Linked DNA regions of Danio rerio. The protein of the gene in region 2 purifies or fractionates together with the protein of the main gene of each other region. This does not show direct contact. Links are inferred from orthologs where the notes say so. Each region holds a gene or a part of one and is shown on either strand. Other genes may lie near its edges.

Region 1 (3,520 bases), on a different chromosome or scaffold from region 2:
ACAACAGTTCTGTCTGGTTCTCGAATTTGAGTGGCTGATAGCAGTGAGATATTCTGCAATATCAGAACTCCTACAGCCTCCTTACCAAACCGTATTACTCCACCCAAATAGACTGACAGCAGATCATTACTCAGAACTCATTACAGTTTGACAAATATTGCAGTTATTGGACAACATAATGTACTTTTAATGCTGTGTTCACACCAGACGCGGAACGCGCGGATAAATCGCGCTACTTGCGCGTAAATAGCTGCGTGAACATTTGAGTTTACTCGCTTCATACGTGCGTCAAACCCCACTTCATTCGCGTGTCAAATTCACATCAGAACAGATACGGATTCGCGTGATGGGCAGGGCTTCTGTCTGCCCGAAAACTCTAGCTTCATAGCTAAATGGCTAACATGGATTTTATGAAGAAAATAACAGTGTTTATGTGCTTTATGAAGACTGAAAAACAGCGTTGATACTTTTAGGGTTGTGTCTGAGTCCACTACATTCTTTCAGAGGTGCATTCAGCTCTGTGAGCTCATAAACTCTTCCAGAAACTTAACCTAGATGACGGAGGCTTTCAGCGGTGCTTCTAACTTAGCCAAGCCGAGTTTGATGAACTGTTGTCGGTGAAGGCTGGAGGATTTCCCTCGGAACACCGACAACAGGTTCTACGTCACAATCACGCCCCCACAAGAGCAAGCTTCTGATTGGTTTACGCGGCGCGAATGTACGCTGAAGTTCAGATTTTCGAAATCGAGAGATTTGCGCGAAACGCTCGTTTTTCGCGCGCAATTTGCGTCATTCGCGCCGCGCTATTCGCGCATATCGCGCCGCAGGATGTCTATTCGCGCTTTTGCATTGACTTAACATGTAAATCACTCGCGCTTGACACGCGTGCCGCATCTGGTGTGAACGCAGCATAAGGCTTTTTAGGGCGAGAATGTAGTTGTTTTGATTGAAACAATGCAGTTTATTCATAAGGAAAGTTTGAATATGCAGTTTATTTACTTTAAATATTTATAGTTTTGGAGATACAGCGCCATCAACAATATGGTGACACAGACCGCATAATCAGCCCTTAAAGGAGGGAAAACCCAGCGTAATTTTAAACTACAGCTGATTAAAAAAGTGACTTTCTAAGTTGATCTCACTCTATTTTGTATGTTCCAGTGTTGTCTATACCAGGGATGGGCAAACTCGGTCCTGGAGGGCCGGTGTCCTGCACAGTTCAACTCCAACTCTAATCAAACACACCTGCTTATAGATTTCTAGTGATCTTGAAGACACTTTTTGGCATGTTCAGGTGTTTTTGATTAGAGTTGGAGCTAAACTATGCAGGACACCGGCCCTCCAGGACCGAGTTTGCCCACCCCTGGTCTATACCATAGCAGTCTTAGGGTGTTGAGTGTGAGATAGGACTCAAATATTAGGAATGTATGTATTCTGTGTTACACTCTTTATCTAACCCTGAGTTACTTTTTGGTTGATCATCTGTTTCTTATGAGTTACTGCAGACTGGTTCAGTAAACAGAAAGAAAGAAGAAATCCATGTGTGTGTTTAGGATTTTTCCTTATCGCAAACAACAGTAATCTGGTAGTGTTTGCACTGTTCTAACTTTTTTGAGGTTAATTATTTTGATCTCCCAATTGCAACAGAGAAATACTGGGAAATCTCTGTAGAGATTTCATGCCGCTCAGCCTCATAATCTTGAAATGTGAGTAAAATCACTTGTAGTTTCTTATACAAAAGAGTTTTTAGACTCTCCGTGTTTTTATATATATATATATATATATATATATATATATATATATATATATATATATATATATATATATAAAAGAAATGTGCTGAAAAAAATCTCTGTTCAACACAAATTGGGGGGAAAAATAGCCCCCCAATAATTCAGGGGGGCTAATAATGTGTGTGCGTGTGTGTGTGTTTATGTATGTATATATATATATATATATATATATATTCATTCATTTTCTTGTCGGCTTAGTCCCTTTATTAATCCGGGGTCGCCACAGCAGAATGCACCGCCAACTTATCCAGCAAGTTTTACGCAGCGGATGCCCTTCCAGCCACAACCCATCTCTGGGAAACATCCACACACACTCATACACTACGGACAATTTAGCCTACCCAATTCACCTGTACCGCATGTCTTTGGACTGTGGGGAAAACCGGAGCACCCGGAGGAAACCCACGCGAAGGCATGGAGAACATGCAAACTCCACACAGAAACACCAACTGAGCCGGGGTTTGAACCAGCGACCTTCTTGCTGTGAGGCGACAGCACTACCTACTGTGCCACTGCCTCGCCCCCTATATACATACATACAAACATATACATAACATTTTTACATTTTTTAAGAAGAGAGACAATCACAAATGTATGTAAACGCTGGTACTATTTTGATAAATGGTTAAAAGACAAAACGTTTTCTTGCATCAACGTCTAAATAAATAAGCAGAATTTCTTTTGTTTAACGTTTCGTTATGTTTAACATTTTTTTTTACCATAATTCACAGAAGATACCCACTAAAATTGCATTAATGGTAGCAATTGTTCATGTTGACAAACCTTTTGTCAGGTGTTACTTTTACTTTTATTAATTATAATTTTCTCAAATTGTTAAAATATGTGATAATTTAATGTTCAATTATACTTTTATTTTAGTAAGTACATGGCAAAATAAATGTTTGAATAATAAAACATTATTTCACCCATATTTTTAAATTTTCACAAAAAGTTTTGAAATATTAATGCTATGTTATGCTTTATGCTTTCTATGTATATAAATTCAATCTCCTATGTAAATTGTATTAAATTCAAATGCCAAAATTCTATATGTAATAATTTATTTTTAATTTGCTTAGTACAAAATTTAATTGAATAATTTTGTATTTTCTTATATTATATTATATTATATTATATTATATTATATTATATTATATTATATTATATTATATTATATTATATTATATTATATTATATTATATATATTTTTAAGTAATACTAAGCAATGCGACTTTCATATATGTTGCATTTATTATTAAATACTTTTTACTGTCACAATATAAATAAAATAAATGTGCCAACTAAAACTGTTCTAGCACTTATCACAATTTATAAATAATCATATCAAAGTTTTAAAGTCAGAACTTTCTATATTTGTAAAGCACAAATACTCTATGTAAAAAAATAAAAATAAAATTTTTAATTGTTGTGTCAGAAATCACAGATTAAAATTAAGTATGTGTTCTTGTTCTACACAGACATTGCTCTCGTTTGCAAATACATCACGAAAGGATGGAAAGGGGTTGAGGAAGCATATGCTGAGAAAGACAAATCTGAGGATCTGCAGAAGGTTTTTGCGTATCTGGAAGCTGTTGAAAAAGTCAAACACTCCACTGATGAACAGGAGCTCATTCATCTGATTGAGGAGCAGAGACTGGGGAAAGAGCAGCTTCTCACCAACCATCTCAAGTCCAAAGAGGTTTTGCCACACTTGACTAATTAATTAT
Region 2 (3,520 bases):
GGTTTAGCTCCAACCTCCCTCAACACTCTTGCCTGGATGTTTCAAGTATACCTAGTAAGACCTTGATTAGCTTATTCAGGTGTGTTTGATTAGGGTTGGAGCTAAAATCCACAGGACACCAGCCCTCAATTCCTGGAGGGCCGCAGCTCTGCACAGTTTTGCTCCAACCCTAATCAAACACAGCTGATCCAAATAACTGAGGTGTTCAAAGGAGTCATGAACACCTTCAGTGGTTGGATCAGCTGTGTTTGACCAAGGTTGCAGCAAAACTGCAGAGCTGCAGCCCTCCTGGAATTGAGTTTGAGACCTATGGCTTTAAGGTATAGTTCACTTAATGTATTTTTTGGGTTCACGTAATTTGCAATACTAAACATAATTTGGGCGCTGTTTACTATCCCTCAACTGATGATGAAACTGAGTTTCTTCTGTTGAAAACAAAAGAAGATATTTTGAAGAATGCTGAAAACCCCTAACATCCATAGTAAGAAAAAATGGAAGTTACAGGTACGGCATTTATTAAATGTAAAATGTTAAATACTTATTTATGTAATATTTATTTATTACTTATTGTATCTTGTTTCAAATGAAATTATTACTTTAGTCATTATTGCTTTAATTACTATTACCAGTAATTATAGTAACAATAATTATTATTATTAGAGTGATTTCTGAAGGATCATGTGACTCTGAAGACTGGAGTATTTCATCTTTAAAATCACTGGAATAAATATTTTAATTAAATGATAAACTACTTTTAAACAGTAATTTCTTTAGTGCAATAACATTTCACAATTCTACCATACGCACTGTATTTTTAATTAAATAAATGCAGCCTTGGTGAGCAGGAGAAGCTAATTTTAAAACATTTAAAAATCAACAAACTTGTCGGCACTAATGGCGTAGTGGTTAGTGCGTCGACACATGCACTCCGGTGCTCACGGCGACCTGAGTATGATTCCTGCCTCAAGGTCTTTTGCCAATTCTTCGCCTCTCTCTGCTCTCCACGCTTTCCTCTTGATACGCTCAATTCAAGGTGAAAAAAAAAAATCCCCAAACTGTTGAGCGATAGTGTATATTAGTAGCAAGCAAAAGATGTCGAAATATGATGATTCATTAAAGTGATTCAGAGCAGACACTTTCTGTTGAGAGGCTTTATTTTTATTTATCATGCACTTCTTTTATTAACAACTGTGTAGACAGTTTACATGCATACAAAAAATACGATATTTTTTTAAAGCTGCTCAATGATATAACTCTTTTGTTTGCCCAGAAATCCCTGAATGAGCAGAGAGGCTGCCTGCTGAAGTTCTCTGGTGAATTGGGTCAGACCTCAAGGGAGGATTTTCACTCCGTCTTCTCTGATCACGCTCAAATCAAGTGGATTGATTTCACCAGAGGAGCTAAAGAGGTGAGGACTGAGAGTCAGTGGTTATTCAGTCTGGACAACATCATTTTAAATGTCTTGCTGTAGTAATCTAATATTTAAATGATTTTGAAATAAGATTCATATAGATTTTAGGGGTGTAACGATACACTGGAGTCAGGGTTTGGTATGTGCTTTGGGGTCATGGTTCAGTACAGTACAGCAGGAATAAGCAACAGTTCTCCAGTGCTTGCTTTTTATATTGAACAGGCAGACTTGTTTTGTCACAATCAGCTACAGAACTAAAAAGCTTCTTGTGATTTTAAAAGTACATAATAAACACAATAATAAAAAATAAAGCCTTATTATTAGGGAACTCTGTATTAAACCTACAAAGATTTTGCTCAGTCCTTTCCTAAAACAGAAATTGTAAGAAAAAACTGTCTTAAATTTAAGACCTTTTTAGCACCTTTAGTTCAACCACAAGTTGTCAATCCCCCATACTGCACCTGTAAAGTTGTCTTCCGTCCATTACTTTGCTCAGGGCACCATCCTGTTCCACTCCAACGCTAAAGAGGCTCTCCAGAAAGTCCGAGAGGCTCTCAACGGGGAGGATCCCAAGGTGAAGGAGCAGGCCGTTCAGTGGGAGATTCTGGAGGGAGACGTGGAGATGGAAACACTGAAGAAAATCATCGAGGATCAGCAGGAGTCAATAAACAAACGCAAAGGAGGCCGAGGTAAATCACAGGACATCATGAAGACACATGCCACGGTCTAAACCCACTGTTTACCACATTTACACTGTGATTGCAGGAGGGTTCAGGGGTCGAGGAAGAGGACGAGGAGGCCGCAGAGACCGAGGAGGACGAGAACACACTCAGTTCAAGGGAAAGAAGACCAAGTTTGATAGCGATGAAGAGGGAGATGAAGGTAAAAGGGACACTCTGGTTTACTTTTTTTCTTCTTCTTGATTGATTTTCTTGTTTGTCCCGCTTAATACTATGGGTTATTCGAGGACAACAAACACAATGTAAAAAATACACTTCACTGAACATGCGTTACTATTACATGTAAATATTATATCTTTTGGAACGACCCCGTGTAACTGCAGGAAACTGCTTATATATTGCCAACCCCTTAACTTCTCTGATTTTAGCTAATGTAGTGTGCAACTTTTGTGAAGCTTTGGAATGATAATTATTGTGAAAGTGCTATACAAGTATAAAAGATTTTCAGTAAAATGCGCATATATGGGTAAAATTCACACTTTTTCCAGTGTTTATTTTTAGAAGGTCATGATTCACACTCATTAAACAATTATCCAACAATTAAAATCCCTTATAATAATAATAAAAATAATAATAATTTCTTACATTTATATAGCGCTTTTCTGGCCACTCAAAGCGCTTTACACAATCGGGGAATCTCCTCATCCCACACCAGCTGATTGGTGGAGAGGAGACACAGTGATGAAGCCAATTATGATATGGGGATGGTTAGGAGGCCATGATGGACAGAGACCAGTGGGCGAATTTGGGATTTTAACGTTTTAACGACCACAGAGAGTCGGGACGTCGGTTTAACGTCTCATCTGAAGGACGGCGCTCACTGAGCAGTATAGCGTCCACGTCACTATACTGGGGCATTAGGACCCACAGAGACCACAGGACGGGTGCCCCCTGCTGGTTTCACTAATGCCATTTCCGGCAGCAACCTAGCTTTCCCATGTGGTCTCCCATCCAGAAGCTGACGGGACACAGCCCTGCTTAGCTTCAGTGGGCGACCATGTGAGTTGCAAAGAGCTAGCTGCTGGCCTCTTCTCTCCACTCTCTTAAGGCTGATTTATACTTTAGCGTCGAGTGATCAGTGTGGCCCACGGTGCCTACCTTGCATGCAAACTTGCATTTATACTTCTGTGCGCTGTTTGTGTTGCTCTCAGGGCCGGAGCAAGCTGAACTGCTGCTCTAGGCAGAGGACGATCACGCCACCCTTAACCCCAATGTGAAAACGAAAGTGACCGGTTATAAAAATGAAGTGAGGTGTCGCGGACCTCTATTGTGCCGCCCTATGCGCGGATATAACTGAGGACGCGCGGGTGCTGAGGGAGGTGTCGTGGACGCCGCCCTATGCGCGGATATAACTGAGGACGCGCGGGTG
Region 3 (2,193 bases), on a different chromosome or scaffold from region 2:
TTTATGTATTTTACATTGTGTATTATTTATTGCTGTTAATGACTTAATTATTAGGACATTTTTATAATTATAGAAAAGTGTTATTTATAAAATGTGTTTTTTTGCCATGACATAGCCATAGAAGCGGAAATGGCAATAAAATTAAAACTCTCTCTCTCTTTTACACTGTACCGAATCATCTCGCGGGCCAGATTAAACGTGTTTGCGGGCCTGATCCGGCCCGCGGACCACATGTTTGACACCCCTAATTTAGGACCATGATCTATTCACACTGCAAATCTCATATTGACCACATTTACAAGAGCAGTGTAAACAGCCATGCAAAAAATCAGATCTGAGAAAAAAAATCAGATTTGAGCACTAAGCATTGCAGTGTAAACCTAGCCTTAGACACACACACACACACACACAAACACACATAAGCTAATGAGTGTTTATCTATCTGCCCCTTTTTCAAATATCAGGAAGGAGTGGTTGGACCTGAAGCAAGAGTATCTCACACTGCAGAAGCGCTGCATGGCCCATCTGAAGCAGTCAGTTTTTCAGATCAATCAAAAGCCAACAAACTATCACATCGTGAAGCTTAAAGAGGATGACACGAATGCTTGTGAGTATATTTTGCTTGTGAGGACATTTTGGCTGTGATAAGCTTTTGCTATTTATTTCCCTGATTATTTTTTTCTTAAAGTTTATAAAGATACACCTAAGAAAGAGCTCACTTCTGGTCCTGAGTTTTTAAGTGGTGTCATTGTCAAGATTAGCTATAACCAACCTCTGCCGAGCAAGAGGTGCATCAAGGTATGGTAATTTTGTAGTTTATTTGGTGATACTTTTTGTCATACTTTTTATCTTATATACATTAAATAAGTAATTTGTCTTTTTCATACATGCAGGATATGCTATCTGAGCTGTCCCCTGTGGCTTATGTGGACCTTCTTGATGGAGATACAGAGGGTCATGTTCGCTTTAAAAGTTCTGAAGATGCACAGAAAGTCATTAAAGCACGATTTGAATTTCAGAAAAAATACAACTGGAACCTTGAACTCCTTTCTGGTTGGTAGGATTTTTTGAATGCTGTTTTTTAGCTGTTTTTTGTCAATGCAGAATATTATCTAAATCATGTATTAATTAATAAAAAGGTGACCATGAAAGAAGGTACTGGCAGAAGATTTTGGTGGACAGACAAGCAAAGCTGAACACTCCTAGAGAAAAAAAGCGTGGAACAGAAAAGGTAACATAAATACTCAACATACTTTTAACAGTAAAAAGACAACAACAAACTAAAACAATTTAAATTTACAATACTGTCTGTCTGTGTGTGTGTGTGTGTGTGTGTGTGTGTGTGTGTGTGTGTGTGTGTGTGTGTGTGTGTGTGTGTGTGTGTGTGTGTGTGTGTAATGTATGCTTTTCATAGCTCATTTCTAAAGCTGAGAAAATCATCATTGCTAAGGCCAAGGAAGCAAGCAATCACATCCGCTTTGATGATTAACTGGGTGACAAAATGTAAAAGGTCGTTTGAAATGATCTGATTTAATCTGTACATTTGTTTGCATTTTTTATATATACTGTAACAATCTTTAATTGAGTCATTGATGTTATCATTATTATTATTTTATTCTTTACAAGTTTCATTATTCCTATTTGATTGGTTTTGAATAAAAGTTTTTTAAGCAGTTGACAGAGCTGTCTCTCTCTTTCTCTCTCTCTCGTGCGTATGTGTGTGCGTCTGTGGAGTGAGTGAAGCGTGACTGTGAGAGCGACTGTGTTTTTCCCAACTTTCACGGATAGTTTATTGCTTAATTTACTTTGGAAAATTGTGTTGAAGTTAATATAATTATTTTAGTTTCTTTTTGGCCATTATGGCCGGGGTGAAGGAAAGTGGAGGGTTAGAGCAACGGCGGCATGGAATCAAAGTGCCGGTTGGAGTTGATTGTTCTGTGGAAGAATGTAGCCTTGCGGCCGGACAAATAGTTGGATATGAAAGCATAAGATCTGCTTCCAGAATGTTTTTTTTTTGGATTCCAAAGATAAGGTGAACAAGGTTGTAGAACAAGGCATTTTAGTGAAAGCACATACAATGAGTTTTCCTCTTATAAATCTGGTGAGGAGGTAATGTTGTTAAATATTCCGCCTTTCATAAAAGATGACGTTTGAGAACGAGAACTGTTGCGATATAGACAAATTGTCTCAACA
Region 4 (2,899 bases), on a different chromosome or scaffold from region 2:
CTAAATCTGTGGTCTTTGGGGATTTTATATTAGAGCAGTAAATGGTTCTGGGTTTTCTAGAATAAAAATAAAAGCATACAAAAGAGTCAATCAATATCTCTGTGCAAGTGTGACTAGTCTTTATGATTTGATTTGTCATTTTTGATCTTGATTTATGAAAGTGCAAAGGCACTCATTCAAACAAGTGATGCAGTTTTTGTATTTTGATGACTGACTAGAGTCGCACATGCACCAAGAACTGTTTTTAGCTTTCTACAGTGCGGTCAAACACTGTAAAGGTTCAGTTTCAGTAAATGAAAACGGTATTTGTTTTTGTGTGAACCCTTTTTTTTTTTTTTTTTTTTAAATCTCACAAATCAAACCTCATTATGTCCATCCTGCACAGTCGAGCTTAGGAAGAATAAAGCTAAACCATAATACTGCAAGATACACCGAATAAGTGCAAGTCTGGAGCATTTTGCTTTTTAAATGTTTTACTAATTAACCGCACCCTTTTTTTTTGTGTGTGAGAAATGAATTAAAAGTTACCTCATATGTTGCTTTTAGTATTAGGAAATTGCAATGGTAAACTGCATTCTTTCTAATGCTTTGAACATTTGGCATGAACATTTCTTCGAATGATCTTTCAAATTATTAGTTAAACTAACTTCTATTGCTCTTTAAATAGACTTCCCGTTGTGAAAGACTGTGTATTTAGTATCATGAACTAATAATGTATTTATGGACACAACTAAAAATCCAGAACTGTTCTTGTAACATTACTCCACTTAAAGTTAACATCTATATTTTCATTTAACAAGCACATACTTTAACTAATAAACTAAACATTCATTAATGTATTTACAAACATGTACAGGATCCTGTTTTGTAAAGTGTTACTATAAAACCAATAGCTGTCCCATCCCGTTTGTGCTCTTACATTTGGTTAGAACTGTAAAGTAGTTTGAGCATCAGTGTTTCCCAACCATAGTCCCGGAGGACCACCAGCACTGCATGTTTTGGAAATCTCCTTTGTCTGTCAAACCCATTTCAGGTCTTTCAGTTTTTAATAATGAGCTGATGATCTAAATCAGGTGTGTTTGGTTACGGAGACATGAAAAATGTGCAGAGCTGGTGGTCCTCCAGGATTGTGGTTAAGAAACACACTGCCTTAGAAACTGATACTGGGAATCTGATGGACACTTCATCATCTGTGTTCCAGCAGGGGTCCCTCACGTCCCCGGCCAGTGCGGGACGGAGAGGAGGATAAGGAGAACCAGAGCGAGAGCGGACAGAACCAGGAGCCCCGTCAGCGCCGCTACCGTCGCAACTTCAACTACCGCCGCAGACGCCCCCAGACAACCAAGCCTCAGGACGGCAAGGACAGCAAGGCAGCCGACGCATCAGCCGACAAATCAGCCGCTCCCGAAGCCGAACAGGGCGGAGCAGATTAAACCGCCACCGGCTTAAACATCCAGACCATCCGGCCGGGTGGGTGACGCCGTTTCATTTCAGCTAGTACTGCATGTACTTTAACATACTTGATCTTCAAGTGTGTTGCAATTTGTACAGTAGCATTCTTTTGTTTCGTTTTTTCTATAATTGTTTTTGTTGACAGAGTCTCATGAAAGATCTGAAAGGCACATTTTGCTTAATAAATGTTTTGTTGTTGCCTAAAGGAAATAAAGAATATTTGAAGCAGAATGATGTTTGGTGTTATTTCATGACAATTAAGCAGAAGTTCTTGTGGAAAATGTTTTAAATACAACCTTAGCCAAGCGGATTGTAAAATGTGCAGTCATTTTCATGTGATTTGTGCTTAAATGTCATGAAAGTTGTGCTGGTGGACTGATTTAATGCCTTATTAGCTCCTTTTAGACGTAACTCTAGATAATGGATGATGTTTTAGCTTTAGCTCGCACTTTTCATTGATGGAAGGTTGGATGATGGAATGGATTTGATTTAGCAGACTGTCTGCTTTGTCCTTTCACACACATTTTAGTGCTTGTAACTGATGAGTTGCTTCAAGCATACTGACTTAGTGTTTTGTGTGTGTGTTTGCTTTCACAGTTTTGTCAAGAAGAAACATCCAACATCTGAGCAATAAGAAACAGATATGACTTCGATCGTCTAAGCTTGCAAAAATGCATTTCGACCAGATTACCACCGATTGCCTGCAGACTCTATGCAGACTTTTTTTTTTGTTTGTTTTGTTTTTCCATTATTTTTGTGACAGCTAAAACTTTTGGGGAAACAGCAGATGTTTTTCTAAATCGGTCTTAAGTTTTTACACCAAATGGTTTTTAAATGTAATTTGATATCTGGTCAGTTTGACATTTTTAAATAACTTTTTATGTATCCAAACATGAATTTTAACAAAAGGCAAGCTGAAATAAAAACCAGAAACATTAATCTCGTACGAGTGGTGTTTGTTAACAGTTCCTGATTCACACTAGTCTAAAAATCATCTCTACAAACAGTGTCCTGCGGCTGGGGTTCGGTTCACACGTTGGTCTCTTTGCGGAGTCTCTCCATACGCTGGATGTTGTTCTCCATGGCGGTGCGGTTGGTGATCTGAGTGGCACAACTAGCAGGAAACCAGCCTCTCTCCCCATCTCTCATGCGCTCTCCATAACACCAACCTACAACAGTCATACAACAAACATTTGAATCTTCAGTCCAAAGCATTGTGGGAGTTTCTGTGGGAACACTGAGTCACAGGATGTCATCATATCCTATTTGTTACCGTGACACACTAAAGTGGTATTTGCAGGGTGGGGGTAGTGCTACATGAAGCTTTGAATTATTTACAAATCTTTTGTTTGGATGGGCATATCAAATTAACACCTTTTTAGTTTTGATAATTCTGTGGCTTTTAGCTTGTGGTGATCTGAGGAGTACCATAAAATTAGCATGATTC

What was found.
Region 1: the proteins of ssb (region 2) and ro60 purify together in Homo sapiens (affinity purification with mass spectrometry; 3 studies listed by BioGRID and IntAct, with this or other methods). This does not show direct contact. The link is inferred for Danio rerio from reciprocal best matches to the Homo sapiens genes SSB and RO60.
Region 3: the proteins of ssb (region 2) and larp7 purify together in Homo sapiens (affinity purification with mass spectrometry; 4 studies listed by BioGRID and IntAct, with this or other methods). This does not show direct contact. The link is inferred for Danio rerio from reciprocal best matches to the Homo sapiens genes SSB and LARP7.
Region 4: the proteins of ssb (region 2) and ybx1 purify together in Homo sapiens (affinity purification with mass spectrometry; 3 studies listed by BioGRID and IntAct, with this or other methods). This does not show direct contact. The link is inferred for Danio rerio from reciprocal best matches to the Homo sapiens genes SSB and YBX1.

The regions. Positions count from the first base shown.
Region 1 is NC_133177.1:12,355,548-12,359,067, forward strand, and holds part of ro60 (RNA-binding protein RO60), read left to right. Parts: intron 1-3,271; coding exon 3,272-3,492; intron 3,493-3,520. UniProt on the Homo sapiens protein: RNA-binding protein that binds to misfolded non-coding RNAs, pre-5S rRNA, and several small cytoplasmic RNA molecules known as Y RNAs.
Region 2 is NC_133181.1:4,437,467-4,440,986, forward strand, and holds part of ssb (lupus La protein), read left to right. Parts: intron 1-1,270; coding exon 1,271-1,408; intron 1,409-1,907; coding exon 1,908-2,100; intron 2,101-2,176; coding exon 2,177-2,293; intron 2,294-3,520. UniProt on the Homo sapiens protein: Binds to the 3' poly(U) terminus of nascent RNA polymerase III transcripts, protecting them from exonuclease digestion and facilitating their folding and maturation.
Region 3 is NC_133182.1:62,349,416-62,351,608, reverse strand, and holds the end of larp7 (la-related protein 7), read left to right. Parts: intron 1-464; coding exon 465-607; intron 608-688; coding exon 689-798; intron 799-893; coding exon 894-1,053; intron 1,054-1,139; coding exon 1,140-1,231; intron 1,232-1,414; coding exon 1,415-1,489; 3' UTR 1,490-1,678; downstream 1,679-2,193. UniProt on the Homo sapiens protein: RNA-binding protein that specifically binds distinct small nuclear RNA (snRNAs) and regulates their processing and function.
Region 4 is NC_133183.1:56,871,299-56,874,197, reverse strand, and holds the end of ybx1 (Y-box-binding protein 1), read left to right. Parts: intron 1-1,201; coding exon of another isoform or gene 1,202-1,204; coding exon 1,205-1,433; 3' UTR 1,434-1,470; intron 1,471-2,049; 3' UTR 2,050-2,391; downstream 2,392-2,899. UniProt on the Homo sapiens protein: DNA- and RNA-binding protein involved in various processes, such as translational repression, RNA stabilization, mRNA splicing, DNA repair and transcription regulation.